Tribolium castaneum: one gene and its partners. The main gene of each other region encodes a partner of the protein of the gene in region 4 in a complex. Links are inferred from orthologs where the notes say so. Each region holds a gene or a part of one and is shown on either strand. Other genes may lie near its edges.

Region 1 (4,284 bases), on a different chromosome or scaffold from region 4:
TACTTAGTGAGAAACATAAAAACATTAAAAAATAATGAAAACTGAAGACATTAACAAAATACGTTTGTAGTTCTAGACTTTCTAAAATATGAGATTAGGAATTTTTTAACGAATTTTGCTCAACAACGTACCATTAAATTGGTGCGCCAGTTTTTGAGCATCCTGTATAAAAAAATTATGCATCTACCATTTTTTAGTAAATAAAATTCTCATTGCGATATTTTTTTCATGCGGTTTGAAGGTAACTTTTTTTATAGAAAAATAAATCGACTTTAACTTATTTAATCTCGGGTACAAATATTTAAAATAAGATAAAAACTGATCTGTGACGTAAAGACCATTTTTAAATTACTGTTCTTAAACATTTTATTTCAAATTTTGCGTTCATGTGTTTATTTGAACAGCTCCTCCACAGACGTTCTCAGTATAGTTCAACATTAACTATTTGTCATGGAACTATTAAGCTAATATTTTCAATTGAGAGCATTCAAACAGCAATACAATTTACCTATAAATTACTTATTTAATGAAAAAGTATCCAAATGATTCTTAAACAGGTGCTAAATCGGTTCTTGTAAGAAGATTACAGAGAAATAAAAAAATAAATGCCTACTTTTTAGAAATACAGAGCAATTATTTTAATTAAATCTACCTACTATGAACTGAAAAGGTCAAATGCAAGTCAATACTTTGTCTTTTCTCTATTTTTAGTTTGAATAAAAACGGCTTATTTCTGACGATTCTTTGGTTAAAAACGAAAGATTGAAAAAACTCTAGATAAAAAGAACGTTTTTTTTGCACTAATTTGGACGAAAACGATTTATTTTATACAATTTCTTGCTTAGAAACGAGAAAACTCTTTGAGAAGTGGCTGAAAACCGCCTTATTTTAGCCGAAAACAACGATTTATGTTATAGTTTGGATGAAAACGGCTTATTTCTGGCTATTCTTTGCTTAAAAACGAGAAAACTCTCATAAAAGAAGATTGAAAACGCCTTATTCTAGCTCAAAAGAACGGTTTATGCACTAGTTAGAACGAAAAAAAAAATCATTTTGTATAATTTCTTATTTAGACACGAGAAAATTCTTGTATAAGTGGCTGAAAACGCCTTATTTTAGCCGAAAACAACGATTTATGTTATAGTTTGGATAAAAACGGCTTATTTCTGGCGATTCTTTGCTTAAAAACAAAAAACTCGCATAAAAAAAGATTGAAAACGACTTATTCTAGCTCAAAAGAACGGTTTATGCACTAGTTAGAACGAAAACGATTCATTTTGTACAATTTTTTGCTTACAAACGAGAAAACTTTTTGAGAAGTGGTTGAAAACGGCTTATTTTAGCCGGAAACAAACAACTATTTATGTTATAATTTGGATGAAAACGGTTTATTTCTGGCGATTCTTTGCTTAAAAACAAAAAAACAACGCATAAAAGAAGATTGAAAACGCCTTATTCTAGCTCAAAAGAACGGTGTATGCACTAGTTCGGACGAAAACCATTCATTTTGTACAATTTCTTGCTTAGAAACGAGAAAACTCTTTGAGAAGTGGCTGAAAAGCCGTATTCTAGCCGAAATTGACTTATTTTGGACGATTCTTTATCTATTTTCTTCCAATAAAAATTCTGTGAGACATCAAATAGTAAATTATTTTCTTTTGCCGTAATAATTTTATGAAAATATTCTAGTCCTCAATTTTTCGTTTAGCCAACAAAACTACATACTTTTGCTAATATTCAATTAATTAGCCTTCTCTCAAATGAAACGTTATTACTGCTTTTTGTGCTTTTGTAAGATACGAAATTTTTTTTTCAGAATTAATTTTTACGAATTATCATTTTGTTACTTCATGGCTCATGACGCAATTAATGTTCCATTTATTGGGACGAAGTATCATAAGATACTATAAAAAATAGAGACCTGGCATTTGCAAGACTTGGATGAAGTCAATCTGGTCCTCCAGCAACAAATCGTACTCGTCCTTCTTGGCTGAATCCTTGGCCCCGAACTTGAAGACCGCCGACGCCATTTGGTCCTTCTCCCATTTCTTCTGCTCCGACTGGGGCACCTTTTCCAGCTCATCAACTTCCACATAGTCCGCTGTTGACCCCTTGCCCAAATCCCTGGGCATGTGGTACCGCTGCACCCTTTCCAATTCACGCGCTTTTTCATGTTCCTGTGCCAACCGCAGCAATTCCCGCTTACGGTCGCGCTCCTTTTTCTCACGTTCTGTTAATCTAAAACCTCAGGTTGGCATTTACCGCAAAATCATTCCACCAACTCACATCTCCTCCTCGAACAAATACTCATCGTCAGCGATATCCTCCTCCAATTCCGCGATTTTATCATCTTTACGTTTCTCTAAATATTTACGTCTTGACTGCACCCTCAAGGCGGGGATCATTTTTTCGCGGTCTTCAGTTTCCAGTTTGAGTCTCTTGGCGGCTTCCTCGTAAGCGCGCCGGTCTGAGGCCTGGACAATGTTGCGGACTTTGGCTTCATCGCGTTTTTTGAGTCTACTAGCGAACTCGTCACGTTCTTTCAGGTCTTTACGACGAGCTTCTTCCTCACTGTCCACGGACTCGGAGTCCGAGCTCGATTCGTAGCGCTTACGCCCCTTCTTGTCTTTTTTGCCCATGGTGAGGCACTCCAGCAAGTGTTGACTACAAAATTTTACTTGTGCCTCGCTAATATGTGTAGTTTTTTGCTTAATTAAAGAGTGTTTTACTGAATTTTACATTCTTCCACCAACAACATAACCTCTAAATGTCAAAACAAACTTGACAAGTGGTTAGGTTACAAGTCCGGTGGCACCGAAATTTTGAGAATGCGATTTTAGTGATTGCATTCAAACCAATTTATTAAAATATTAAAAGGCTGTGACACAGGGATAAATAAACCAATACTTGTATTTAATATAGATTTATTTCTTATCACATAATTTTACAAGTTAATATTTTTTTACCTAGAAGAAGTGAAAATTTTGGTCTTTTTTCGCATCTACTATCACAATTTCCAATTCCAAGGTATACAAACCACTCCATCTGAAAGAACAGAGTAGTAAGTAGCTACGTTTAAATGTATACCGTTTAGATATTGTTCTATATCAATTTTTTTTTCTAAGAGCCGTTCACAGCATTTAATCATTAAATCCGGTGTTATATTATCATCTTTCCTAAGATTAAATAACTTGAATTCATCCATGCATTGTTTTTGCAAAGACCGCTCTATGTATTTATCGCTGAAATAGAAACAATTAACGGGAATCAAAATAAAACATTCACAAACTTTTTATATTCAGTCATTTTTTCCTTGGCGTGTTCTAAATTGGTTGTGATAAAATTGACTAACAAAAATCCAGGTAGGGAAGACGGGACTATAAACTGACCAGTGGGAGAGACCATCAAAGGTCCAGCTTCCCTAAAATAATAAAACATTTATGATTAAATTAAAATAAAAAAATTCATACGTTTCAACAACAATCTCAAATTCTTCTAACGACTGGGGCCACTGCTTAGGGAACCCCCGCCTTCCTCTATAGTCACTTAAAGAAGTCGTGATTTGTTGCAGGTTTCGCTCGTATTCTCCCGCCAAAACTTTCGGCATAAATTTTCTGAAAAAACAAATCGTTTTAAATTAATTCAAATCCAATCAATAATAACCAAAAGTCTGAGAAAAACTGACGACTAAATTTTATATGTGAAACATGAGAATTCTTACCTCCTGCCAACTTTGATCCCTCTCAAGACTTGCGAGACGGATTTTTCAAAACCAGGAATTCGGAATAGGATTTTGTCGTGCTTTCTCACGTTTTTGATCAACTGTGGTCAAGAATTACTTTCAAAACCACATTCAAATTTTCACTTACATCAAGCCAATTGTGCCGCACTTCCCCACTGTTGAGCATGATGTGCCCCTCTAGGCTGATCCCTGTAAAGGGTGCAAACACCAGCGTGCGGCCCTTCAAAACGTGCATAACTTCCGGATGTTGTTCAGCCAGAGACATAAAGCTTTGCAGACAGCCCCGAAAATGGGTGACATTCCAGCCGCAGTCCCAGCGGACGTCGGTCAGCTTCCACTGTTGGGCGATTTTTTTGCGCAAACGGTCGACCTCCTCGCGTAGAGGCCGATTGGCTTCGAGTTTTTCTAAGGCACTTTGGTAGTTCTTAACCAGCCAGTTGCGTAACTTGAGGGCTTCTTTGGCCTCGTTGATTTTTTGGCGCATGACAATGGGGCCAAAGATCGGGTCGTTTTCGTTCACTTTCGAAAAATCGATGTTGCTG
Region 2 (3,500 bases), on a different chromosome or scaffold from region 4:
GTTAAAGAGCTAATCAGAAATTTAACATTTTTGAAAAATTCAATTAAAGCACAGTGTAAAAATGCACGGACTTTATTTTTATAATAGAACATTAGAAAGTCTTTTGTTCTTAATATTAAAATTATTATAAATTAAAATTGTTTTTTCTTGTAGTTTGCGGAAGACTTAACAATGTTTGACATTAGAAAAAAAATACGTAAAGCAAGGGCTTTATCATATTACTATTTTATAAAAAATTCAATTTACTAGTTGTTGAAATAGGTTATTTTTTGTAGGTATCACGCCCCAAATGTGGTTTACATTAAGACAGAAGATCCCGATCTCCCAGCCTTTTATTTTGACCCGTTAATAAACCCAATCTCGCACCGACATGCCGTCAAAAGTTTGGAACCTCTACCCGAAGACGACGAAGAATACATTTTACCAGAACATGTGCAACCCTTTTTGCAAGAAACACCACTTTATACAGATAACACAGCTAACGGTATTGCCCTGTTATGGGCTCCTCGTCCATTTAACTTGCGTTCAGGTATTCATTATTTTATTTAAACGTAGAGAAAAAATTTATTTTAATACTTGTAGGACGTTGTCGCCGGGCCATTGATGTACCATTGGTCAAAACATGGTACATGGAACATTGTCCTCCTGGACAACCGGTTAAAGTGCGCGTTAGTTACCAGAAATTGTTAAAATACTATGTTCTTAACGCGCTTAAACACCGGCCTCCTAAAGCACAGAAAAAACGCTACTTGTTCCGTTCATTCAAATCCACCAAATTTTTCCAAACTACTACACTTGACTGGGTTGAAGCTGGTTTGCAAGTTTGTAGGCAAGGTTACAACATGCTCAACTTGCTCATTCACCGGAAAAATCTCAATTATCTTCATTTGGACTACAACTTTAATTTGAAACCTGTCAAGACTTTGACGACAAAAGAACGTAAAAAATCCAGATTTGGGAATGCTTTCCATCTGTGTAGGGAAATTCTACGTTTGACTAAACTCATAATAGACTCACACGTTCAATACAGACTTAACAACGTTGATGCGTTTCAACTGGCTGATGGTTTGCAGTACATTTTTGCCCATGTCGGTCAATTGACTGGCATGTACAGATACAAATACAAGTTGATGAGACAAATCAGAATGTGTAAAGATTTGAAACATTTGGTATATTATCGTTTCAATACGGTAAGAGTTTGTGAAATTTTATAAATCGGAAGTTAGAAATTATTTTTATACAGGGTCCAGTTGGGAAAGGTCCAGGTTGTGGATTTTGGGCTCCAGGTTGGAGGGTTTGGTTGTTCTTTATGAGGGGAATTACACCTCTGCTTGAACGTTGGCTCGGCAATTTACTGTCACGGCAGTTTGAAGGCAGACACTCCAAAGGTGTTGCTAAAACTGTGACCAAGCAAAGGGTTGAGTCTCACTTCGATCTTGAGTTAAGAGCTTCAGTTATGCACGATATTGTCGATATGATGCCTGAAGGTATCAAACAGAATAAAGCCAGGACCATTTTGCAGCATTTGTCCGAAGCGTGGCGGTGTTGGAAGGCCAATATTCCTTGGAAAGTAAGTTTCCTTTGTTCATTTTTTTTCAATTAAATATACGGACAGTGTTTTGCTATAAAAAATAGAAATTAAAAACATAACTGCATACAATGAACATTACAATAGCTAACATTTAGAAATTAAATGAAGGTTTTTAGGAATGAAATTTATTTTAATATACTAGTTAACAAATTTCTTAACAATTACAATCCGCTTTAACACAAAACTTGGCTTTGGTTCCAAAAAAAAAATCGGTAATAGACTGGTTGAAATCGGTTATAAAGTGATCTCAACAGAGACAACATGTAGTGTTCCAGGCGTTTGATTTACTTTAGTTTCGAACTGTTTTTTAAGCTAGTTAAAAGGTTATTAAACAATCTTGCGGCGTGTCTAAATCAAGTTTTTAATGAAAATATTGGGGTTTATTCAATTACATAACACATGTGGCATGCATTTTTGTTCATTTCAATTTTGTATAATGTAAAAAAAATATATTTTGTATCAGAAGAGTTAAAAAACATAAAATAACTTCAGTACAAGCAGTTTAGAGAAGCTTAAGGTTTTCTTTAGATAAACAGTTGTGGGAGACATTATTTTTTTACAAGATGTAAAATATGTTTTACAACTATTCTGTTGATTAAAATTTCATCGAAGTTATAAAAACCAAGACACACTTCGTTTTATAATGTCTCTTTGTGTTTTAAAATTCTATTAAATTCCAACACTTTGTATAACTATTTAGTTAGTTTAGTTAGTTTAATTGGACAGACCATAATAAATAAATAATGCTGCCATTTTTTGACAAATTAAGTTGAAAAAAATATTAGGGGTTGATTTCATTAACGATAAATAAATCGCCAGTTAGTTATTTGACCAATAATGTTTTAGAAAAACTGAAAAAAAAATCTTTATTAAATTTTACTCTACAGGGTATTAATGTTCGGACAGAAAACTGTTTTACAGATTTAATATTAAGTTACGTCTCCTTTCCTTTCCTGATTACTTGAACCTTGGTCGGGATAGTTTTTACTAGGTCTCAACAAAATTCAGGAGTAAAATGGTGCATAAATCTTGTCTTGTTCCTATTGAATGATTTTATAAATGGTTATTCATTTCGTTCCAAAGTTTTGATAATATTTACTTATTAGATACGAACTATTTGAAACAGTTTATGTTATGTTCTCCATACTATTTTTTATTTGTTGTTTCACATGCTCTTCCATCTTGTAGAAAAATAAAAACACATTGAAAAATTACATTTTTTGGTTACATAATATAATTATAATAATATAATGTCACGGTAATTGTCAACGTTTGCTTACATTTTGATTTGATTTAACTTTATGCAAAATCTGTCAATATCGTTCCAAAATATCATTTTCTAATTTGCTTTTTAACTTTTGCAATGAGTAAAAAGATTAGTTTGAAACAAAGTTCGTTCAATGAAAATAATAATAATAATGCTAAAGAATTCTAGACGTGCGCAAGATCAAGAGCTTTCAAATTTGAAATTATTTCAAAAATTATTTTTTCAAAGCTTACGACAAAATACAAATTGTTAAACCTATATCAAGTTTAGTTTCACAAGAACGGTGTTCTCTTTTTGATAATAATTATTTTTTTTTAATTTTGGTGTTATAGTAAAATTGTTACTTAACATAATTTTCTGTCTTGTTCATAATCTTACTATTTTTCATTTTTGTCATACACTTTCTCTGTATTACCTGTTTACATAAAATAATCATTCATAATACTTCTGTTATGAGTAAATACATCTAGGACCTTTAACATATTTTTGTTGTTTTTAAAGTATTCACAATTATTTATAACGATTTTGGGAAAATTATTAATCAAATAACAAATTGTTATTTTATGGATGTTTAAATTAATATCAACTCTTTATTTATTACTGTTTTGTTTAAAAAGATAAGCCACTTAGAAAATAAAAACT
Region 3 (4,273 bases), on a different chromosome or scaffold from region 4:
TGGAGCGGGAGCGACGTTTCTCCTTGTCCTTGGAGAGGGAGCGCGACTTGCGATCCTTTGATGCTCGTGGACTAGACGACGAACGGGATCTCGAATGCGATTTGCTGGGTGACTTGGAGCGTGAAGCCGACTTTGAACGGGAGCGAGATACTGATTTCGAACGGGAACGGGAGTTACGCTGCTGTTGCTGCTGTTTGCCGTTGCCGCCGGCCATGGACATCAGCTTCGCTTGAAGCTTTGACACGGGCTGGGAACTCTCTCTAGACAGTAAAGCCAACGTTAAACCTGCCCACATCGTTTGCAAAACGGGCAACAAAAATAATGGAATCAAGACGAAGCCAACGATGCATTTTGATTACACAAAATGTCCGAACAAACATTAAATACATCGGTACAACCCATCACATACAAAAAAAAGGTAACGCTATTATTTAAACTGTTATTCTTCCTTACAAGTGGTTTTTAATTTTTGTAATTATTTTATACAATGGACGATAAAGTTTTATAAAACCAATAAGACTGAGGTATTTATTTATAGCCATAATATAGTTTATATAACTGACTTTTTTTAATAAAAGTGCTTGGACGCAAGCTAAGACAAAAAAACTTTAAAAATGTTTTCTTGGCAAAGAAGAACACCGGGAAATAAAACTTCTAATACAAATATAAAAAATCTATTAATAAATTCGTGTTTACCAGGCACTGGCACGATAATGATTAGTGTGAAAAAAAAAACAAAATAAAAAGTGATAAATACCAACGTAATTTTGTAATAAAAATAACATTTATTTTAATACATAATTAAAAAATGTTTTAATAAAGCTACAGAAAAAATATTGTACGTTACTCTTATGAAAACACAACGTATCACTCACCCACGTAATGCAACATATCGTTTTTAATCCTTGTAACGTAAATAACCGTTTGCATAATTTTTCGACGTAATTAAAAACAGATTACAAAAAACCTGTAAACTAATATCTATTCGAATAATTTTAAGAAAATTATTTGAATCACATAACAAAGTCAACTTGCTCACACAACTACGTCCATTTCCAATATAACGTTCCATCATTAGATGATTAAAGCTGCATCATCAATGCATGTTGACAAAGAATGGTTTTTATTAAATACATACAAAATCACAAAAATTAATCCACAATTATTTTAATACGTTAACAAATAAAAATAAAATCAATCCCAAAACGTGCCAAAATAGCGCAAACCTTAGAAAACTTATTAAACAAAAAATCCACGCAGTATTAAAATGTGCAAATTTTTTCACTTGCTTAAAATACTTTTAGCCAGTGATATAATCAAGAAAGAAACCAACTTTCTCTAACGTTCTTTATTTATTTATTCAACGAATTTTGCGCGTCATAAAAATAATAACCATTTTTAGCATCTTGCTGAAATTGTGTCGTAACACGAGTTACTGAAGCAATTTACAAAACTCACCACTTACCACAACGTGCAATTAATTTCCGCAACAAATTTAATCTATCAGTAAACAAACTTACGAATTATGTTTAGAATTGGCAGTACTGCTTTCCAATTTGGCAGAATCCTCTCTGCCATTATTCTCCCGTTCGTTGGGACTTGCGTTGCCGTTGTTCCTCAAATCATCAATCTTGATCCTGGATCTGGAACGGCTCCTTGACCTCTTGTCCTTCCCTCTATCGTTGTTCCTGCTGGACCTTTCAACCGACCGCCTCCTGGGCCGCGACCTTGACCGTGATCTCCTCCTAGACCTGGACCTGTCCCTATCCCTGTATTTCTTCTCCTTGTCGGACTTTTCGCGTTCGCGCTCTTTTTCTCTTTCCCGGTCCCGAATCTCACGCTCTTTTTCCTCTTTCTCCTAATATAACACAAGCGGTGATACCACCAAAAGTATGTAATTTATGCAAACCTTCTTTTTTATGATTTCTTCACGCTTCAAGTCCAAGAGTGAGTCGGGGATTCCGGACGGGTTCTCCTGTGCTGAGATCAAGAGCGCCCACAGCTCGGCCATGAACTCGCGCGCGTTTTTCCCATGCAGAAACCCCGTAAGATTGATTTGGATCTTTTTAGGATCGGGAAACTGCAACGTAAATATTTAAGCAAGCGAGTTTCAGTTGGCAATGTTGTACCTTCTCATCTAGTTGATTATAAACAAAATCGACGACGACGTCGTCATCAATTTTCAAGATTTCCGTTAATTTGTCTTGGATCCACGGCTTGATGACATCAAGTTTAATTTTGGACATATCAACCTGCAATTGAGCGCTGCTTTATCACGGTACCTACGCTTGGCTTAATTTACCCTCTGACTCAAACAATCGCTGAACTTCATCTGCTTCAGGAGCTTTTTTTCCTTATCGCTGAAGCGATTGTCTTGCTCGGTGGTTGTGCCCTGAAACGAGTTGTTTACAACAATAATCCCTTAAAATATTTGACAGTTCTATTAATAAACACCAAGGGGGGACGTAATCCACTTGCAAAAAACTCACCGTATACATCATCATAGAGTCCGGAAATGGTCCTTTCGTTGCAAACTAACAAAAACCACTCAAATTACTAAATCAAGAAACGAGGAACTGTAGCACAGACGCCGGTACTTGACTTCACGATATACACATAATTGAATTCTTCACATGATTTACTATAACACTAAACTACAGCGGTTAATGCAAACTCCCGATTAACGCGACTCACAATAAAAAAATCATCGTTTTTTACAATTAATCGCGCACTAAATTCTACAAATCCATGTTGCTTCCAACAAAATGGCGTGGCGTCATGGCGTCAAATTTGTTGATAATTCCAGATTCTGCCTTACCACCGCAGCTCTACCGCACCGACCGGGCCAAGCGCGACTTTAAAATCTGAGAACTCATTCAAACCTATTTTAATAAAAGCCGCTTTATCGCAAAACTACAACAACGCCCAACCACGTATTTTACTAAAAATGAGGCAAAAACGCTACTTTGTGCAAAAATAGCACACAAGAGCAGCCCAGTTGTAAAAAATAAAATTCCGGAAAAATTCCCAAATGAACTGCTTTTTGCCGGTCATTCACTCCCAATCAAACGCTCTAAACATAAAGTGCTAGTCAAAAAAACTGTTTTGTTCACGAAATCAAATCCCAATTGGTATTTTTCTTAGAACTCGAGAAACAAAGTTGTCTTCAGCACAACATAATTGGGGGCCCAGATGAGACAGGTAGCCTCCATTGAACCGTAATGGTCCGTCGACTATTAGCCAGTCATCTGTTATAATAGGAAAACAGGGTGTTCTCCCACTTAGCAACTGTTCTTGTTCTTTAATCCCTCCCAGGTACAACATTATATCATTTCCGTTTCACAAGTTCAAGAACAACCTGGTCTTCAGTCTACTGGCACACTTCAAAGAAATTATTTCGTGCAGCACCCGACCAAAGTGCACCAGTGACCACAGTGCCAGTTAGTGAAAAAATAAAGTAGAAAAAAGGTGGTTCAAATATGGATTGGCAATTTTGAGTGAAACGCACCGAAAATTATTGTTTGCTAGATTTGCAATTTTTCGAGTCTCATAAGTGCCAGAGTCAGGACAGGATGGCCATTAGCAAAAATACGGTTTTTGCGGTAAGTTTGCAGGGGCGCAGGGCTCAATTCGCGCGAGTATGTAGATTTACCGATATTCAAAATATTTGCCCTCTGCAGCCCACATAAACGCCGAAGAACAGTTATATGATGAGGTCAATGATCAGGTATCGCTTTGAGTAGGTACGTACTGGACAGGTGGTCAATGTAATGCACGGGACAGTGTCGGGTTTAGATGATTTTACCCATCATTGACGGTTTTTTGGAAAACCGGTGATGTCATCATCTTGTTGAGTATTTGGTCAGGTATTTCGTATTGTCTGAGATGACTAGCCTTCGGAATGAGGTTGAGATGGTAATTAAACGGTACTTTTCGTGATTAATTTTTAAAAGACCTACAGCCGAAGACGAAATTCATGTCACGAAGTTTCCGTGCTTATCGAAGGCTTAATTAGACCTCATCGATCGCAATTACCTCTTCGAGGGTATAGTATAGTTGAAAAAAGCCGCTAATTTAATTATGTCGTGCGACTTTGTTCGTGAGGTGGGATAAGAAACCAGAAAATTATAATACGAGGTACTTGAACCGCACGACGAAATTGTAATTATAACAGGACAATATAAACAAGTAAAATTTAAACAAGTTTTGAGAAATTGTAAATGAGTGAAAATGCGCACTTTGTATTTCTTTTATCGCCCCAAGTCGTTAACAC
Region 4 (3,500 bases):
AGTTGTAGATGAGAAATAAAGACAGTTTAGAAATCCCAGACAAAAACAATATAGTATATAGAGCTTAATATCTCAGTTATTTGCCAACGGATTGTTATGAAATTTAGAATGTACATATTTTAGGAGGTGGTCTTTCAATTAGGGTCAAAAAAATGACCTCAAGTTAAAAAATGTAATTTTAAAACACATTTCTTTTATTTAAGATTAAGTCAAACTAGGAAATATAGATGGCCACACAAAAATTCACCAAATCGCTCTGCTGATCCAAGAAAAAAAATTAGGTTTTGTTGTTAAAAACTTAATCCAAATTTTGGAAAGTATTTGGGCAGTCACCTTTTGAAACAATTGATGAAGCATTTCTATGCGGCATTTTGTGTACCATTGAAAAAATCTGTCAAAAGTGTGTGCGCTATCAGAAAAGTAAAACACAGAAATTTCAGTGTTGTTGAAAAAGGAAACAATATTCCTCCATAAAAAGTTTCGTTGAACTTCTTGTGAAATGTTATTCATGAAGTTTAAAGTTCAAAGAATCTTCAATAATTTGAAGACACAGGAAGCGTACGTGAACTAAATCGAATGAGGATAAAATGAAAAGTCGTCACTGGAAGCGAAGCAATAGCTGGGGCTGTAACATCAGCTTTTGAAGGGAATTTAATCAGCAGTGTACGATAAACATTTCCAAACTCCTGAACGTTCAAGTGCCTAAAATTTTTCAGTTGTTCAGTCTTTTTGTCCTTTTTGAACGAATTAAAGCATCCAGTACAAGAAGGAAGTTAAAAATACTGTTTGTTAACTTTGTAAGGATGAGAGATAAATGTGAAATGTCATTTGCGTGACACGTTTGTGCGAGTAGGAGTAACCAAAATTTAGTGGTAGCGCGCATATGTTTTATAGGGACCTTTTGAATTTGTATCCACGTTTAACAGTTTGTTTCTCATTTTTCTTGCAGAACAAACTTCTTTCACAAACGAGTTTTTTCTTACATCATTTTTCATTGATGATTAATTTTTTAATAAAAATCTTAAAAGGCTTAACATTTTAAAAAGGCATGTAAAAATTACGTTTTTAAGACTTGAGTTGTTGCATTAATTGAATTTTAATCTTTACCTTCTAAAATATCTGCATTTTAAATTTCACAAAAATCCGTTAACAAATATCTGACATATCAGGCTCGAAAGTCTTAGCTGAGACACCCTGTATATTTTTTGGTTTTTGATTAACTAAATTTTAATCAGCCCCTCAAACTTTGACTGATGGCTTAAAAATTATCGTTCGTAGACAAAAAATGAATATAGATCACAGATTCAATTGTCTGATCTAGTTAATTTTAATATAAAAACTAAAAGTACTCTTTTACAACAACTAATGTATGTTGAGAAACCAAACTTTCACCAATATCTCAAAAACTGTTTCTAGTGTTGTGGATAAGAGGTAAAAATAGATTGGAAATCTTCAAGCAAACTTCCTCTAGAAAAAATTTTGAGATGATTTGTTTCTCCATTTTGATATTAGGCTCTAAAATGTATTAACTGAAATCTAAATTAAGTCAAATTATTTTTTATTTCTTATGAACGAAATATGATAGATTTTCACTTTTATTAGTGGAAATTCAATAAAAACGCAAAAAGTCACTTAAATAGCCATTTTTGGATATAATCAAAACTCTGACCTACCTGTGCTTCTGTCTATGACAAAAGTCGATACTTTGTTGAAAAATGATGTAAGTAAAAATAAAACGAGTTAGCGAATGCGAATAGTTTTTCTTCCGGTTCCTAGTTGTGCAATTTTTTGTTTTATCAGTTTCTGATATTTTTTTGGTATTTAAAATAAAAATCTATGATCTTCATTACCTTTTTCAATTATTCGAGTTATTCTAATAAGATAGCTTAGCTGTTTTCAAAATATTTAGAGTAGAGAAAACTCAAATTTCCACCTGCCTTTTCAAAGATTGATAATTCGGCCAATTGTAGTAAATACAGGGTGAGTCCATGGGGTGAGCTAACAGTGGGTTATTTCCGAAGAGCAATTGGTATTTTTGGTTGCATCTTAGGACATGTCAGAAGTAACCCTCTATTGAATCAGACTTGAGTTTGGAAATCGTATTTGGGTATTTACTGAAAATTCGCAGAGTGGAGAGACATATTTGTAGTTCTACCTCGATAAGAAAAAAAAAAGGAAACTGGATCCACAATTAAAACCCGTTTTTGAATCAATTGAGTAATTTACAAAACTTGCGCATAAAACCTTGTATGTAACTCATACTTACTTTATCAGTCATCCGATCCAAGAACGGTTTAATATCCTCTTCCTCCGCATGGAAAAACTTATTAGACTGTCCCTCAGACGCAGCATACGTAAGTAAATCAATTGCAGTCAAACGTGATTGTTTCCTCGTCGGTACGAAAACAATAACCGGCTTATGTGGACTATACCTCACCACAGCATTATAAACCGGCTTCGCCATTGCGATAAGTCTCGACGCATTATGTGTAATATTAATCCCCTGTACATGCAATTCCAACGGTACAGGCCTCACACTCGGATGAAAATTAAACGTTGCATTGGCATTACAACCCAACCATTGAGACACATCTCGATAATCCATAAGCGACGCACTTAATGCTATAATCCTGATCGGTTTCTCAATCTGTGAGGAAATATATCGCATGCGGGAACACACAACTTCAATAACAGGCCCATCCTCCCCACCAATCAAATGCAACTCATCAACGATAAACAAATTCACATTTTGGACATTCTTTCTTTGTTTCCATCTTCGCGACAATACATCCCATTTTTCGGCCGTGCTTATAACAATCTGACCTTTTGCCAGTAACTTCAAATCAGTCCCGGTTTCACCAGTTAGGAGCACTACTTTCTTGCCCAAAATTTGCCCAAATTTATTGTGCCAATCGGCAAACGTTAACTCAGCTAATGCATCTTTCGGAACGAGATAAACGCACCGACCTTCCGGGTTTTTATCAAAAAGGCGAAGTATCGCAAATTCAGCGATTGTAGTTTTTCCAGAACCGGTCGGGGCACCAATAAAAATATTATCATCACCGTTGTAAACCGAATTGAAGACTTGCGTCTGAATTGGATTAAACTGCGGGAACTTGTCGTTATACAACGACTCGAATTTATCGTTCCGTAAGGCAGTGACTGGTAAAGGTTGCAAGTCAAGTAGTTCAGTTGGTGGGAAATTCTTCTCTGGTAGTATCAAATGTCGGAAAGAAACTGGTAATTGTGTCTCGGCTCCGATCCATCGATCTGACACAATACGTAAGAAGTACTGAGGTGGCAAAGGTTCGAAAATCGGGACAAAAAATTTAACCAAATGCTCGTCTTGTGAATACTTCGCTTTGAGCAAAAAATACTCATGGTGGAGAATAACCTCTGAATCCACATCTTCCACCAAAATCCAAAACGCTTCAGACGCTCCATGAAGTTTCTCATCCCACTGAAAGTCAGGCGTTATGGTCAATTCAACCTTCAACATT
Region 5 (4,277 bases), on a different chromosome or scaffold from region 4:
ACAAAAATTCCGGTGATAGAATTTTATTCGTAAAAAATTACTTTTCTAATCTTAGCTCATAAATTTGTATATAAGCCTCCGTCAGCGTAATCATCTGCGGCAAAATATCCGTCACATGCAAGTCCTGCATCTCGTACCACTTGCCCGTTGATTTTTGCAAAATATGAACCCTGTAAGTGCCTTTCCCCGGCTCTCCATCATGCACAATATTCGCCACTAGATCATAGACCGTATGTTTATGTTTGGCCTTAACTTCGGGCGTCAAAAACTCGCCAAAATCAACATTCCTAACCGGAAAATTCACAATGGTTGGATTCTTCTCCACGTAGAACGTGTTCTTCGTAAACCTCTTAATATACAAGATTAAATAAGGCGGCAAACGCGTAATCTCAAACTTCTTGAGGAAATTCTCCTTGTAAGTCTTGTACTCCTTCTCGGTCTGTCCGTTGAACTTGGTGAGGAGCTGGTACAAGTTCACCTGGGGGATGATATTCTCCCGGAACTCGTCGATGAAGAGAGGCGGTGGAGGCAAGTCGCAGGTGAGGTACAAGAAGGGTGACTCGGTGATGATCTCCTGGTACTCTGGAGTTGACAAAAGCATGCGTTTCTGTCTGTCGTCAAGCTCGGTCGGTGGTATTTTCCTGGTGTAAATTTTCATGTTTCCGAGGAATGACTGGTAAATGATGGAACTGTTTTTCTTTTTATTGCCGTTAAGTGCCCGATGAAGTGCGTTCAAAAACCACGAAAGGAAATCAATGGGGTCGCCTTGTGCCGTAATTTGGAAGCGCTTTTTGCTCCACAAAACCACAGCTTGGAGCATTTCGTGCGGCGAAACGTGGGCTTTGAAATTTCGGGGGTTCCATAATTTACGCATCAGTTCACCGTAACGTTGCACCAGGAGGTAAGAGGAGTCACCTGGGGGGCGTTTTATCTTGCTGTAGTTCTCCTCACGGAGGAAGTAATTACGTAAAGGGACAACACGTGAAAGGGCTTGTAAAACAACATTACAGTAATCGTTCGCTTTTATGTTGTTTAAACCGACGATTCCTGGCATGTAAAGTAGGCCATCAATTGCTCGGGACATTTTTGTGCTAACGTCCAATGTACTGATGTGTTGTTCGGTAAATGTGGGGTTGAGCAGGTATTTAATGTCGTCGAGGGACGAATCTGTGAGTAATTTAATTTTGTTAGAAAAAAATCGTTGGAGCTTGAAATTAAGTGGCAACACTGATTACTGAAACCGAATACTTCCCCGAACATTTCCTAGTATTTGCTTTTTTCAATTCAGAAATTGACAACACGATTATCGAAAATAGACAAAAAACACAAAAATTAACCGAAAAACCACCAAACGGATTCAATAATTACATAATGTTTGTCTTTTCCGAAGATCCCAACTTGTTATTTCAGGCAGAAATGCCAAACAAGCCGCAAAATTACCAAATCAGGCCACAAATTATCTCATTTTTCCTTTTTTTTTAAGCCATTATGCATGTTTTTGAGCTAAACAGGCATTTATTTTACAAAATTCGTGAATTATGACATTGTAAAAACGTATAAATCCTAATCTTTGTAAAAAGTCTCCCAATTGAAGACTTCGCGCGAATTTCAAATCACGCGCGCTCAAGTGTCATTTTCAAATCAGCCAATGAGGTGCCGTTGGCGTGACATCAGCGTTAGAGTGAAGCTTGTCTGCCGAAGTGCGCGTCCTTTTGCTTTTGCGTGTTGAAAAACCGGTGTTTTGTGCGTGTTAAGTGGCAAAAACGACTCAAATCGACTTTTTATCGGAAATGTGACGTGTGTAGACTATCAAAGTGTGTTAGCAGCAAGCTGGAAGCCGGTTTTGAAAAAATTCAGTTAGACGACGCTAAGGTTAGTCATTTTTGTATTTTTTCCACGATTACTCGGTTTAATTCGAGTTAGTTTCGGTTGAAAACGCATACAAAACGATATTCAATAAAATGCCAATCGGAAAAATGCGACAAAACGAAGATTTCACTTTATTTTTGAAGGGGGGCGTTACTGGCATTGCGCCCTCTCAAACATTCGCGTTATTGAAACGATTTAATCTAATTCGGTGTAAAACTTCAGCTCGAATCAAGTGAGTTGGGTAAAATTGTTGAAATTTGAAGAAAAATGTTGCCAACTTAATTTCAAAACTACAATTGAGAGTATTTATTACCTATTATTTCATAATTGTCGGGCAAGCAGTAAAACTTCAAGGTGTGCAAGTTGAGGAAAACGTGGTGGCCTTCGGCCACCGAATGCGTATAAGCATGTGTGTTTGTGCCTCTACCTTGGAAATATTTTCCGCAAACAAGACAGGCATAAACGTTGATGCGAGTCAACGACACTGAGCACAATTTTTCGAAATCAAAGTCGAGATATTGCCGGTTGATTGTGTCCAAATAGGGGCACAGTCGATGCGTTTGGGGCTTCCCACCTGGAATAGACAATAATAGAACAGGGCGCTTTAATCGATTGATTTTTGTACCTTTCCGGTCCGAATTGTCAGAAGGGGGCTCAATTTCGGCTAAAATTGAACGTTTCAGTTGCGTTTTCGAGGTTATGTGTACTTACGTTGTGAGGAGTTTGATTTGGCTTGGGGCTCCTCGAACTTGGGCTTTTTCATGGCAGGTTCATCGTCCGCTTCCATCGTATTCACGCTTTTTTAATTAATTTTTGATTAAATCACGCTAGGACTGTTTTTGTGTGGTGTTTGCAACTTTAAGGTTATATTTACTGTCAACGGTGTCAATAATAATGTCAATCTGGTTATGCAATAAAATTCGAAATTGTAAAAAAATAAGTACTTTATTCAATAAAATTACGCTTTGAGACTAACTTTCTCTTCTTCGGCGCCTCGTTCATCACAAACTTCGACTTCCCCTCTCAGTTTTTTCTGGATGTCTTCGAGGGTTTTTCCTTTCGTTTCAGGCACAAAGAAATAAATAAAAACTAGTCCAAGTAGCGAACAAATCCCGAAACCGTAAAACGAGACATGTAGTCCGTATTCTACTTTAGTTATTTGTAAGTACTTGGAGGCCACTGTGGCCATCACACTGAAGTAAACATCGGCCAAACAAAGCGCAAAAGCTTTCACATTTGTGGGAAACAACTCCCCTAACATACAAATCGGGATTGACTGCATCCCTAAACTGAAAATTATCACAAAAGCTAGAAGCCCCACAACGGCCACGATCGAAAATGAGCTCGTATCAATGTCCGTTTCGTTCAAAAGATAAAAATAGGTCCCTTCGACAAAAAGGGCTAACGCCGACCCCGCCATTGAGATGATCAACAGTGGTCTTCGACCGGCCTTATCCACAATACTCGAGGAGAACATTGTGAGGAGCAACTGGATGGAGTAGTAAATCATCACAGCGTAATGTGCGGAAATGTGGTCCCCAGCAGTTTGGAAAATCTCATGGGTGTAGAAGGCAATAGCCGTGGTCCCCGCCAATTGCTGGAAGCCCCGGAGCCCCCCGATGATGAAAACGGCCTTCCGGTTGCTCTTCACCCGGAACAAGTCGACGAATTTCCCATTGTGCGACTTTTCCTCAGCCTGGATTGCGTTCCGGATTCGGTTCAAATCCCCGGAGACATTTTCGCGTTTTTTGAGGCGTTCTAGTGATTTCCGGGCCTCGTCCGCCCTCCCACGCATTAACAAATAGTACGGACTTTCCGGCATCCACAAGAATGTAATAAATAGGATTGCCGGCACAATTGAGGACACAAGTGCCGTGGTTTTAATACTAAGGTACGACCCTATCACATTTATGATGAGAAAACCGGCGATCCAGGTCACGGAGCAGCTGGAGCCGAGCATCCCTCGCACCTGGGGGTCGGCGATCTCGCCGATGTACATGGGGACGACGGTGAAGGTGACGCCGTCGGCGATGCCGGCGATTAAACGCGCGATGTAGAGGAGGACGATGCTGGGGGCGAAAGCCACCATTATCCAGGAGAGGAAGAAGGGGACGGCGGTGGCAAGGATGGTGCGTTTGCGGCCCAGGATGTCGACGATGGTGGCGGCGGTGAGCGAGCCGATGACCGCCCCCACCAGGGGCATGACGGCCAGGTTGGAGCCCTGGTTTTCGTCAATGCACAAGGTGCAAGTCTCGTTGTTTTTGAGCTGGGGGAGGCTGGGGGACGACCAGCCGTAGATCATGCCGTCGGTGACGATGGCCAAAGTGCCTGCGAGGAAGCGAAAGTGAGTTTCTCGATTTTGTAAGGATTGGATTCAGGTCGTTAAGTTTTTAGGGGTTTCTGGTTCA
Region 6 (3,047 bases), on a different chromosome or scaffold from region 4:
AATATCATCGTTTCACCGTACGGTTTTTATTTAACTGTTGTGTCACATAAAAATCTTATTAACATAATGCATTACCACACAATACTGTGATAACTCGGTGATTAGAAAAACAATTAACGGTGATTAGGAACCAATTGGATTCCTTACCAGTAAGGGCCTTAACTTCATCCATGAAAGTCACTACGAAAATCACAAAAACAGCACAAACATTTTTTAGTGATACCATCTTGGTATTCTCGCAACTTTTGCACAAATGAGAGATGAACTTTATATTTCTTGTACAATATATATTACAGTTATAATGGCAAGGTAGCAGCTTTCTCTTTCGCGCGCGCGTTTTTGGTACTTTTGAGACAGAGAAAGATACAATGAATGTGTCCAGTTGGGGGTTACCCGCTTGACTGTTACTATACCTTTCACTCAGAAGCCGCACCTCACTAAGAAGTAGCGTCTTCTCTGTCTCACTCGCCTCTTCACGTGTGGGATTGGAATAAAACCAGTTCAATTTTTTATTTGTTTATTTATTACACAATTTACAAAAACATTAATCGGAATCCGAATCTGAGTCATTCTTTTTCTTAGGATTATCCTCTCGATTCAGCCGCGCTATGAGTTTCCGCGCGGGGTTGAAAACGCCACTCGTTTGCGTGTTGCAGACGAAGCACCTCGTCGTCTTCTTGTACCTCTCGAGGGCGCACTTCTCGCAAAAGTAGTGTTTGCACCTAAAATTAACTGTAATAAAGACTCGTAAAAGGTGCCTCCTACTTTGTGACAATCGGGTCCACGAAGCTGTCCCTGCAAACGACGCATTTGAACGGCAAATCCTCTTCGTCCGAGTCAATCTCGTATTGTTTATCCTCGTCGCTTTCTTGCCCATATTTGCCTTCCGCCCATTCCCGCTCAAGCTGCCAGCCGTGTTTGTAGTCACTCCTGTCGTGCAAAAATTTACAACTGTCCCCGAAACCGCAAAAGCCTGTTTCTTTGTAGTCCTTGCAAATGTCGGGTTGGTAGTCCCACCGGACGGTGGCACGCAGGTTTGCGGGGGCTCTGATGGGGCCCTTCCTGACCATTCCCGAACTGGCGTTGCCCGCAGCCGTGTCTTTGGGCTTGTAGTACTGTGCGTAGTTGTTGATGCCTCTGTAGACTTTATCGTCTTCCTTGCCCTCAAGATTTTTATTAATTTCTAGCCGCTTCTCGAAAATGGCTTGGGCGTCACGATCGCGCTCAGTTTCAAACTCCTTTAATTAAATAATTATTGATTGGATAATACTAGTGAGTGGTTAAGTGGCTTACAAGAGTCGCCGTCGCTCCCTGATCTTGAGGTCCCTCAGGCATAGCGGACCGTTTGGACTTGTAACTAACCATAATTTCCTCCTCACTGCTTGAGTAGTTCTGCTGCTCATGTTCTTTTTGTTTGGCTTTGCTTGTGGTTTGGAAGTTGGGGTTTGCTTTTCCCCGACGCCGGTTCGCCCGCTTCACCGCAGATTCGTCCTCACTGTTGGACTTTTCTGAAGAAATCGCAAACAAACATAACCTTTAAAACACGAAAACTAAGTCTACAACAACAGTGAAGGTTAATTCACGGATTTGGGGTACCCACCTCCTTCCGAACTGGATTTCTGGCGCTTCCGCGCCCCTTTATTTTTTATATTCCGTTTTTTAAATATAAAAGTGCAACTTTCATCAAGTCCTGTTTTAACGTCACGCGGATCATCCATCTTTGACAAGTGTCAAGTGTCAGTGCTGACGCCAAACAAAATATCAAAAATTTCAAAACTCAATAACGCCTTTGTGGTGTTAGACTTGAGCCAAAGCAATTTAATCTAATTTGAATTTGTAATTACACGTTTTCCTAGTGCGTCATAATGGTAATAGCAAGTGCTTGAATGTTAATTGCTTTCGCGGTTCTGTTGGTAGTTATGGGTGACGGTTCCTGATTGGCTAAATTTGAAAGTGCGTTGACGTTTGGCATCCATCTGCATCGTAACGAATTTTCTACAAATCAATTAAAGTAGAATTAGGATAATTTATTAGTGAACGTGGTAAAAATGGCCCAAAATTTCAATCCGTTCGTGGAGCAAGTGCCCGAGAACGTAAAGCAGGCCGAAAGTTCCAAGAAGGTATCGAACGATAATCACGCAGTGACAAAAAGGTGGGCAAAAAGTGAGTCTAAATTGGGGTGCTAATCTTTGTTCGATTTGCAGATTGCACAAAGAGCTTATGACTTTGATGATGTCCGAAGACAAGAGCATCTCGGCGTTTCCCGAGGGCGACAACCTGTTCAAGTGGGTAGGTACCATAATGGGGCCCAAAGACACGGTTTATGAGAGTTTAAAATATAAACTAAGTTTACAATTCCCGAACTCGTACCCCTACGCGGCCCCCGTAGTAAAATTCATCACGCCTTGCTTTCACCCCAACGTCGACACCAGTGGGAACATCTGCTTAGATATTTTAAAAGAGAAGTGGTCGGCGCTTTATGACGTTAGAACAATTTTGTTATCAATTCAGGCCTTGTTAGGGGAACCAAACACGAGGAGTCCGCTGAACACGACGGCCGCCGACAAGTGGAAGAAAAAAGAAGAGTACAAAAAGCTGGTGTTAGAGTCGTACAAGGAAGTCTAAATTTGATCTCGCATTAGAAAAATTTCAGTTATTTAAGATGTCATTGTGTAATAATAGACTGCGTACATATTTGTGTTATATAATTTTTACTATTTCTCGTGTGTTATGATTGAATAAAACGATCAAGTTTCAATAATTTATTTACATAAATAAATATTTGGCTTAGCGAATAAAAATACGTTATCACGACTAGGATTTCACGATAATCAAGGTAAAAAATAAAATAATTGTGGTTACAGCCAATACAAGGATCGCGCACATCTTGCGGTTTTTCCGCTGATAAGCGTCTGCCTTTTGCAGCTGTTTGAAGCCTTCGTAGACCTGGATCTGCGTCTGTTCCACGTTGTAGTCAATTCTGTCCAGAACTGTCCCCTGGTCGGCGACCATCTGACTGAGATCTTTGAAAATTTCGTTCAAGTCAA
Region 7 (3,290 bases), about 19 Mb from region 4:
TCGGCCTCTTTGAGCTGTTTTTGCAAGTTGTTAATGTCGTTGTCCTGACGCTCCACTTCGGCCTTCAAGATGTCCATTTTTTTGTCGATTTGCGCCTGTTCAGCGGCCAGTTTAAGGGTTTCAGTCAGTTCGGTGTTTTTGGCCACCAAAAGCTCGGTCAGTTGAGCGTATTCAGGGCCGGAAAGCTTGAGGTGCTTGGGGGCGATTGAATTCTCGATTATTTCTCTAAAAAACGCAAATAAAACCATACGAAATGACCCGAAAGGGGGACGTACTTGGAGATTAACTCAATATCGTCGAGGATGTAAAGGAGTTTTTCCTTCGTGCTCATTTGAGACGACATAATGATGGGGAAAAACACTCACGGGTTTAAATATTAAACGAAATAATCAATTGAACAGTTTTTATTTCGAACACAACCTCAAATACACAAATGTCAAAATAACGCGCACACTGCGATGCCATCTGCCCAGAGAATAACTAAATCGTAAGAGCGGGAATTTTAATCGAAAAAATTACTTTATTGAAAGAAACCTAAGCTAAATTAAAATATATACACAAAATTCAATTCTCTTCACTCTTGACTTGAACCGCCGGCTCTTCCTGCTTCACATCGTCATCCTGTGTCTCATCTTTACTATTCTCATGCAATAAAACGTACTCCCTTGAGCTGAACCCAAACTTGATCACGTCTTTCTCCAACAACTCCACATATTTACTCGGCTCTATCTTCTTATTATTGATAAAAGTCCCATTAGCCGAGTTCAAATCAATCAAATACGGCCTTATTCTCTTCCCTGAAAAAAACAATGAAAAACCCAACACACTACCAGCTGTCCCACAAACCAGTGGTGCCATCCTCACGCGTGAAAGGGACTAGGCGATACTGCAAAGCTGCGTGTTGTTTTGAGCACGAAGGGTGATCTACAGGGAGATCAACAACTTTGCGATCGCGCCCAATCAAGTAGGCGCTTTCGCGATGTATGTATAAAGTCTGAAGGGCCTTTTCGCCCTTAAAAGGGTACAACCGCCACCGACGTTTCGGCTTGCAAGCCTCAGGCGGCTCGCTATATTTTATAACAACGCCACGATAAGTGTTAGTTTCTTCGGTAAGTTTTCCCGAAAGACCGAAATTCGGTTTTTGCTTTTCCTTCTGGTCTTTTTCCTTCTTGTCGGATTTTTTGTCGTCCGACTCGCGGCCCCAACGGGCGTTCGAGTGGTCAAAGGAGGCGCTTCTGCTACGCCGCCTTGGATGGTTCTCTCTGTTTCGCTCCCGGTTGTGGTAATTTTTGTTATCGTCCCGTCGGTTCCTGTAATCCCGTTCCCTGTCTCTGTAATCAGGACGCCGGTTTCTGAACCTGTTATCGTGAGAACGGTGGTCATTGGGGCGGTTTCTCCTGTCGTCATGCCGCCCCCGATCGTCCCGGACCCTCTTATCGTCCCTCTCCCGCCTGTCCCGATTTTCAGGCACAGGACTCCGCTTGCGTTTCCTTTAAACACAACTAGTATTTTCCCTTAAAACCACCAACAATCATACCTGTCGGTTTCTTCCTCATTTGTTGGCTTTTTGTCCCTCTTTTTTGCCTGTTTATTCGCCTCGTCACTTGCCACAGGCGGAGTTTCGTGTTTTTTATGCGAGTTTGCCTTCGTTTTGGTTTTCTTCGGCGATTCTTCAGTCTCAGGTTTCGATTCGGTTTTCTTGCTTTTACGTTTCGGGCGCCGTTCGGGTGATGAATCGGAGCTTTCGCTGCTTGAATCTGATGAACTGGAGCTGCTGGAAACGCGCTTCTTCTTCTTTGAGCCCATTTTTTGTTTGTTTGGGCGAAGTAACTTTAAGGTTATAAGAAACGCTACGTCTCGCAATTGACAGGTGTGCCAATACAACCGGCGAAAAAAAATATTGTGGGAAAAAATTAATTAAATTTGCATTATTATGTTCCGATTATAGTTCTGACGAAGACTAATTGTTAAATAATCTTAAAAACTGGCGTTTTTTCTCGAAAACTGATCGCTGATGCTGACAATTGACCCAACCTCAACTTTTGACATTGACAGGTCCCGCACATGTCATCGTTTTTTCAGTTGTGAAACACTTTAAACGTGTTCATTTTTAGACAAAAACGTGATAGTAAATAAAAAATACAATGCCGACTGTGGGTGTCAAGCGCAATTTGCTATTCGAAGCCCTTGGGCGCACTTTCAGTAAGTTGTTTGATCACTGTGCCCCCTTATTGCCCCAATTTGCAATTTCCAGCCGACGATGAATTCCAGCGTTTATGCTTCGAGTTCGGTCTTGAACTGGACGAAGTCGTAAGTATTAATCTTTCAAGCGATAAAATGATGCAATAATGCCCTAAATTTCAAGACAACTGAAAAACAGATGATAAGTAAGGAACAAGGGGAGGATTCAGCCCAGGCGGCGGGAGCCTCCGAGGAAGTCATTTATCGAATTGACATTCCTGCAAACAGATACGATTTATTGTGTCTTGAAGGCATTTCATTAGGAATTAAAATATTTCAGGGGAAGTGAGTCATTAGTTTTGCCTTGACTTTGGCACTGTAATGTTTTTGTAGAATTCAGCCGCCGGTTTACAAACGTATCAAACCGTCATCAGACAGTATTCAAAAAATTCACGTCACACCCGAAACGGCGAAAATCAGGCCTTATATCGTAGGCGCCGTTTTGCGTAATTTATACTTCACTCAAGATTCTTACAACAGTTTCATTGATTTGCAAGATAAGTTGCATCAGAATATTTGCCGCAAACGCACGCTTGTCTCAATCGGGACGCACGATTTAGATACAGTTCAGGGGCCCTTCACCTATGACGCTAAACCACCTTCTGAGTTTAAGTTTGTACCACTTAATCAAACCAAAGAGTGTGACGGCAACGGCGTTATGGAGCTCTATTCAGTAAGATTTTGACCGAGTTTGGGGGATTCCCAACAGTCACGTGATATTTCAGGCGCACGCGCAGCTAAAACAATACTTGCACATCATCAAAGACAGCCCTGTATATCCACTCGTTTTGGACAGTAATGGGGTTATTTTATCCCTTCCGCCGATTATTAATGGGGATCACTCCAAAATTACACTCAACACCAAAAATGTTTTGATTGAATGTACGGCAACTGATTTGACTAAAGTGAGTTGAACGTTTCAATTGAAACATGCCATAGTGGAAAATTTTATTCATTAAAAAAATTCATAACTCGAAAACTAAAAGTCGTAGAGCAATGCGGTTTGTTCCATTGAATTCAGCGGCTCATTTTCTGTGTTATACCAACTT

What was found.
Region 1: Brr2 (region 4) and l(2)37Cb share a complex: the UniProt entries of both Homo sapiens proteins name them as parts of the minor spliceosome. The link is inferred for Tribolium castaneum from reciprocal best matches to the Homo sapiens genes SNRNP200 and DHX16.
Region 2: the proteins of Brr2 (region 4) and Prp8 are in contact, whole or in part, in a cryo-EM structure (PDB 7OS2), measured with the Homo sapiens proteins. The link is inferred for Tribolium castaneum from reciprocal best matches to the Homo sapiens genes SNRNP200 and PRPF8. Residues at the interface, in NP_054733.2 of Homo sapiens: Pro543, Met544, Arg545, Ser546, Thr570, Gly571, Thr589, Glu591, Lys592, Ile595, Arg624, Arg728, Lys729, Glu773, His786, Ala787, Thr814, Glu837, Tyr992, Thr1008, Ser1010, Ile1012, Leu1041, Glu1042, Arg1043, Val1044, Pro1045, Ile1046, Pro1047, Val1048; in NP_006436.3 of Homo sapiens: Trp2073, Arg2074, Ala2077, Ile2078, Ala2081, His2084, Asn2109, Lys2113, Tyr2168, Glu2171, Met2172, Arg2266, Leu2268, Gly2269, Phe2270, Gln2276, Arg2287, Leu2298, Ala2299, Asn2300, Glu2303, Glu2307, Arg2310, Pro2311, His2313, Phe2314, Leu2315, Asn2316, Phe2317, Ala2318.
Region 3: Brr2 (region 4) and Srrm1 share a complex: the UniProt entries of both Homo sapiens proteins name them as parts of the minor spliceosome. The link is inferred for Tribolium castaneum from reciprocal best matches to the Homo sapiens genes SNRNP200 and SRRM1.
Region 5: Brr2 (region 4) and Usp39 share a complex: the UniProt entries of both Homo sapiens proteins name them as parts of the U4/U6-U5 tri-snRNP complex. The link is inferred for Tribolium castaneum from reciprocal best matches to the Homo sapiens genes SNRNP200 and USP39.
Region 6: Brr2 (region 4) and mdlc share a complex: the UniProt entries of both Homo sapiens proteins name them as parts of the minor spliceosome. The link is inferred for Tribolium castaneum from reciprocal best matches to the Homo sapiens genes SNRNP200 and RNF113A.
Region 7: Brr2 (region 4) and uncharacterized protein LOC661495 share a complex: the UniProt entries of both Homo sapiens proteins name them as parts of the minor spliceosome. The link is inferred for Tribolium castaneum from reciprocal best matches to the Homo sapiens genes SNRNP200 and SNIP1.

Annotation. Positions count from the first base shown.
Region 1 is NC_087398.1:7,190,233-7,194,516, reverse strand, and holds the start of l(2)37Cb (pre-mRNA-splicing factor ATP-dependent RNA helicase DHX16), read right to left. Parts: upstream 2,801-4,284; 5' UTR 2,640-2,800; coding exon 2,287-2,639; intron 2,239-2,286; coding exon 1,922-2,238; intron 1-1,921. Other genes in the region: T-cell activation inhibitor, mitochondrial, read right to left, coding at 3,008-3,242, 3,290-3,421, 3,471-3,614, 3,722-3,822, 3,870-4,284. UniProt on the Homo sapiens protein: Required for pre-mRNA splicing as a component of the spliceosome. Contributes to pre-mRNA splicing after spliceosome formation and prior to the first transesterification reaction.
Region 2 is NC_087394.1:7,714,791-7,718,290, reverse strand, and holds part of Prp8 (pre-mRNA-processing-splicing factor 8), read left to right. Parts: intron 1-275; coding exon 276-529; intron 530-582; coding exon 583-1,190; intron 1,191-1,243; coding exon 1,244-1,570; intron 1,571-3,500. UniProt on the Homo sapiens protein: Plays a role in pre-mRNA splicing as core component of precatalytic, catalytic and postcatalytic spliceosomal complexes, both of the predominant U2-type spliceosome and the minor U12-type spliceosome.
Region 3 is NC_087398.1:3,111,837-3,116,109, reverse strand, and holds the start of Srrm1 (serine/arginine repetitive matrix protein 1), read right to left. Parts: upstream 2,801-4,273; 5' UTR 2,505-2,800; coding exon 2,490-2,504; intron 2,393-2,489; coding exon 2,303-2,392; intron 2,253-2,302; coding exon 2,130-2,252; intron 2,081-2,129; coding exon 1,910-2,080; intron 1,859-1,909; coding exon 1,521-1,858; intron 261-1,520; coding exon 1-260. UniProt on the Homo sapiens protein: Part of pre- and post-splicing multiprotein mRNP complexes. As a component of the minor spliceosome, involved in the splicing of U12-type introns in pre-mRNAs. Involved in numerous pre-mRNA processing events.
Region 4 is NC_087397.1:20,466,825-20,470,324, reverse strand, and holds part of Brr2 (U5 small nuclear ribonucleoprotein 200 kDa helicase), read right to left. Parts: coding exon 2,267-3,500; intron 1-2,266. UniProt on the Homo sapiens protein: Catalyzes the ATP-dependent unwinding of U4/U6 RNA duplices, an essential step in the assembly of a catalytically active spliceosome. Plays a role in pre-mRNA splicing as a core component of precatalytic, catalytic and postcatalytic spliceosomal complexes.
Region 5 is NC_087394.1:36,569,871-36,574,147, forward strand, and holds Usp39 (ubiquitin carboxyl-terminal hydrolase 39), read right to left. Parts: upstream 2,801-4,277; 5' UTR 2,657-2,800; coding exon 2,581-2,656; intron 2,534-2,580; coding exon 2,495-2,533; intron 2,444-2,494; coding exon 2,183-2,443; intron 1,873-2,182; exon of another isoform or gene 1,629-1,872; intron 1,168-1,628; coding exon 38-1,167; 3' UTR 8-37; downstream 1-7. Other genes in the region: facilitated trehalose transporter Tret1, read right to left, coding at 2,828-4,197.
Region 6 is NC_087396.1:11,857,785-11,860,831, reverse strand, and holds mdlc (E3 ubiquitin-protein ligase RNF113A), read right to left. Parts: upstream 1,741-3,047; 5' UTR 1,719-1,740; coding exon 1,601-1,718; intron 1,509-1,600; coding exon 1,294-1,508; intron 1,239-1,293; coding exon 766-1,238; intron 723-765; coding exon 545-722; 3' UTR 501-544; downstream 1-500. Other genes in the region: probable chitinase 2, read right to left, coding at 148-226; vih (ubiquitin-conjugating enzyme E2 C), read left to right, coding at 2,049-2,152, 2,205-2,625; Syx16 (syntaxin-16), read right to left, coding at 2,815-3,047. UniProt on the Homo sapiens protein: Required for pre-mRNA splicing as component of the spliceosome. As a component of the minor spliceosome, involved in the splicing of U12-type introns in pre-mRNAs. E3 ubiquitin-protein ligase that catalyzes the transfer of ubiquitin onto target proteins.
Region 7 is NC_087397.1:1,785,578-1,788,867, forward strand, and holds uncharacterized protein LOC661495, read right to left. Parts: upstream 2,001-3,290; 5' UTR 1,807-2,000; coding exon 1,538-1,806; intron 1,491-1,537; coding exon 847-1,490; intron 798-846; coding exon 565-797; 3' UTR 501-564; downstream 1-500. Other genes in the region: MED4 (mediator of RNA polymerase II transcription subunit 4), read right to left, coding at 1-225, 276-343; beta-PheRS (phenylalanine--tRNA ligase beta subunit), read left to right, coding at 2,145-2,202, 2,255-2,310, 2,366-2,526, 2,575-2,914, 2,967-3,146. UniProt on the Homo sapiens protein: Required for pre-mRNA splicing as component of the spliceosome. As a component of the minor spliceosome, involved in the splicing of U12-type introns in pre-mRNAs. Down-regulates NF-kappa-B signaling by competing with RELA for CREBBP/EP300 binding.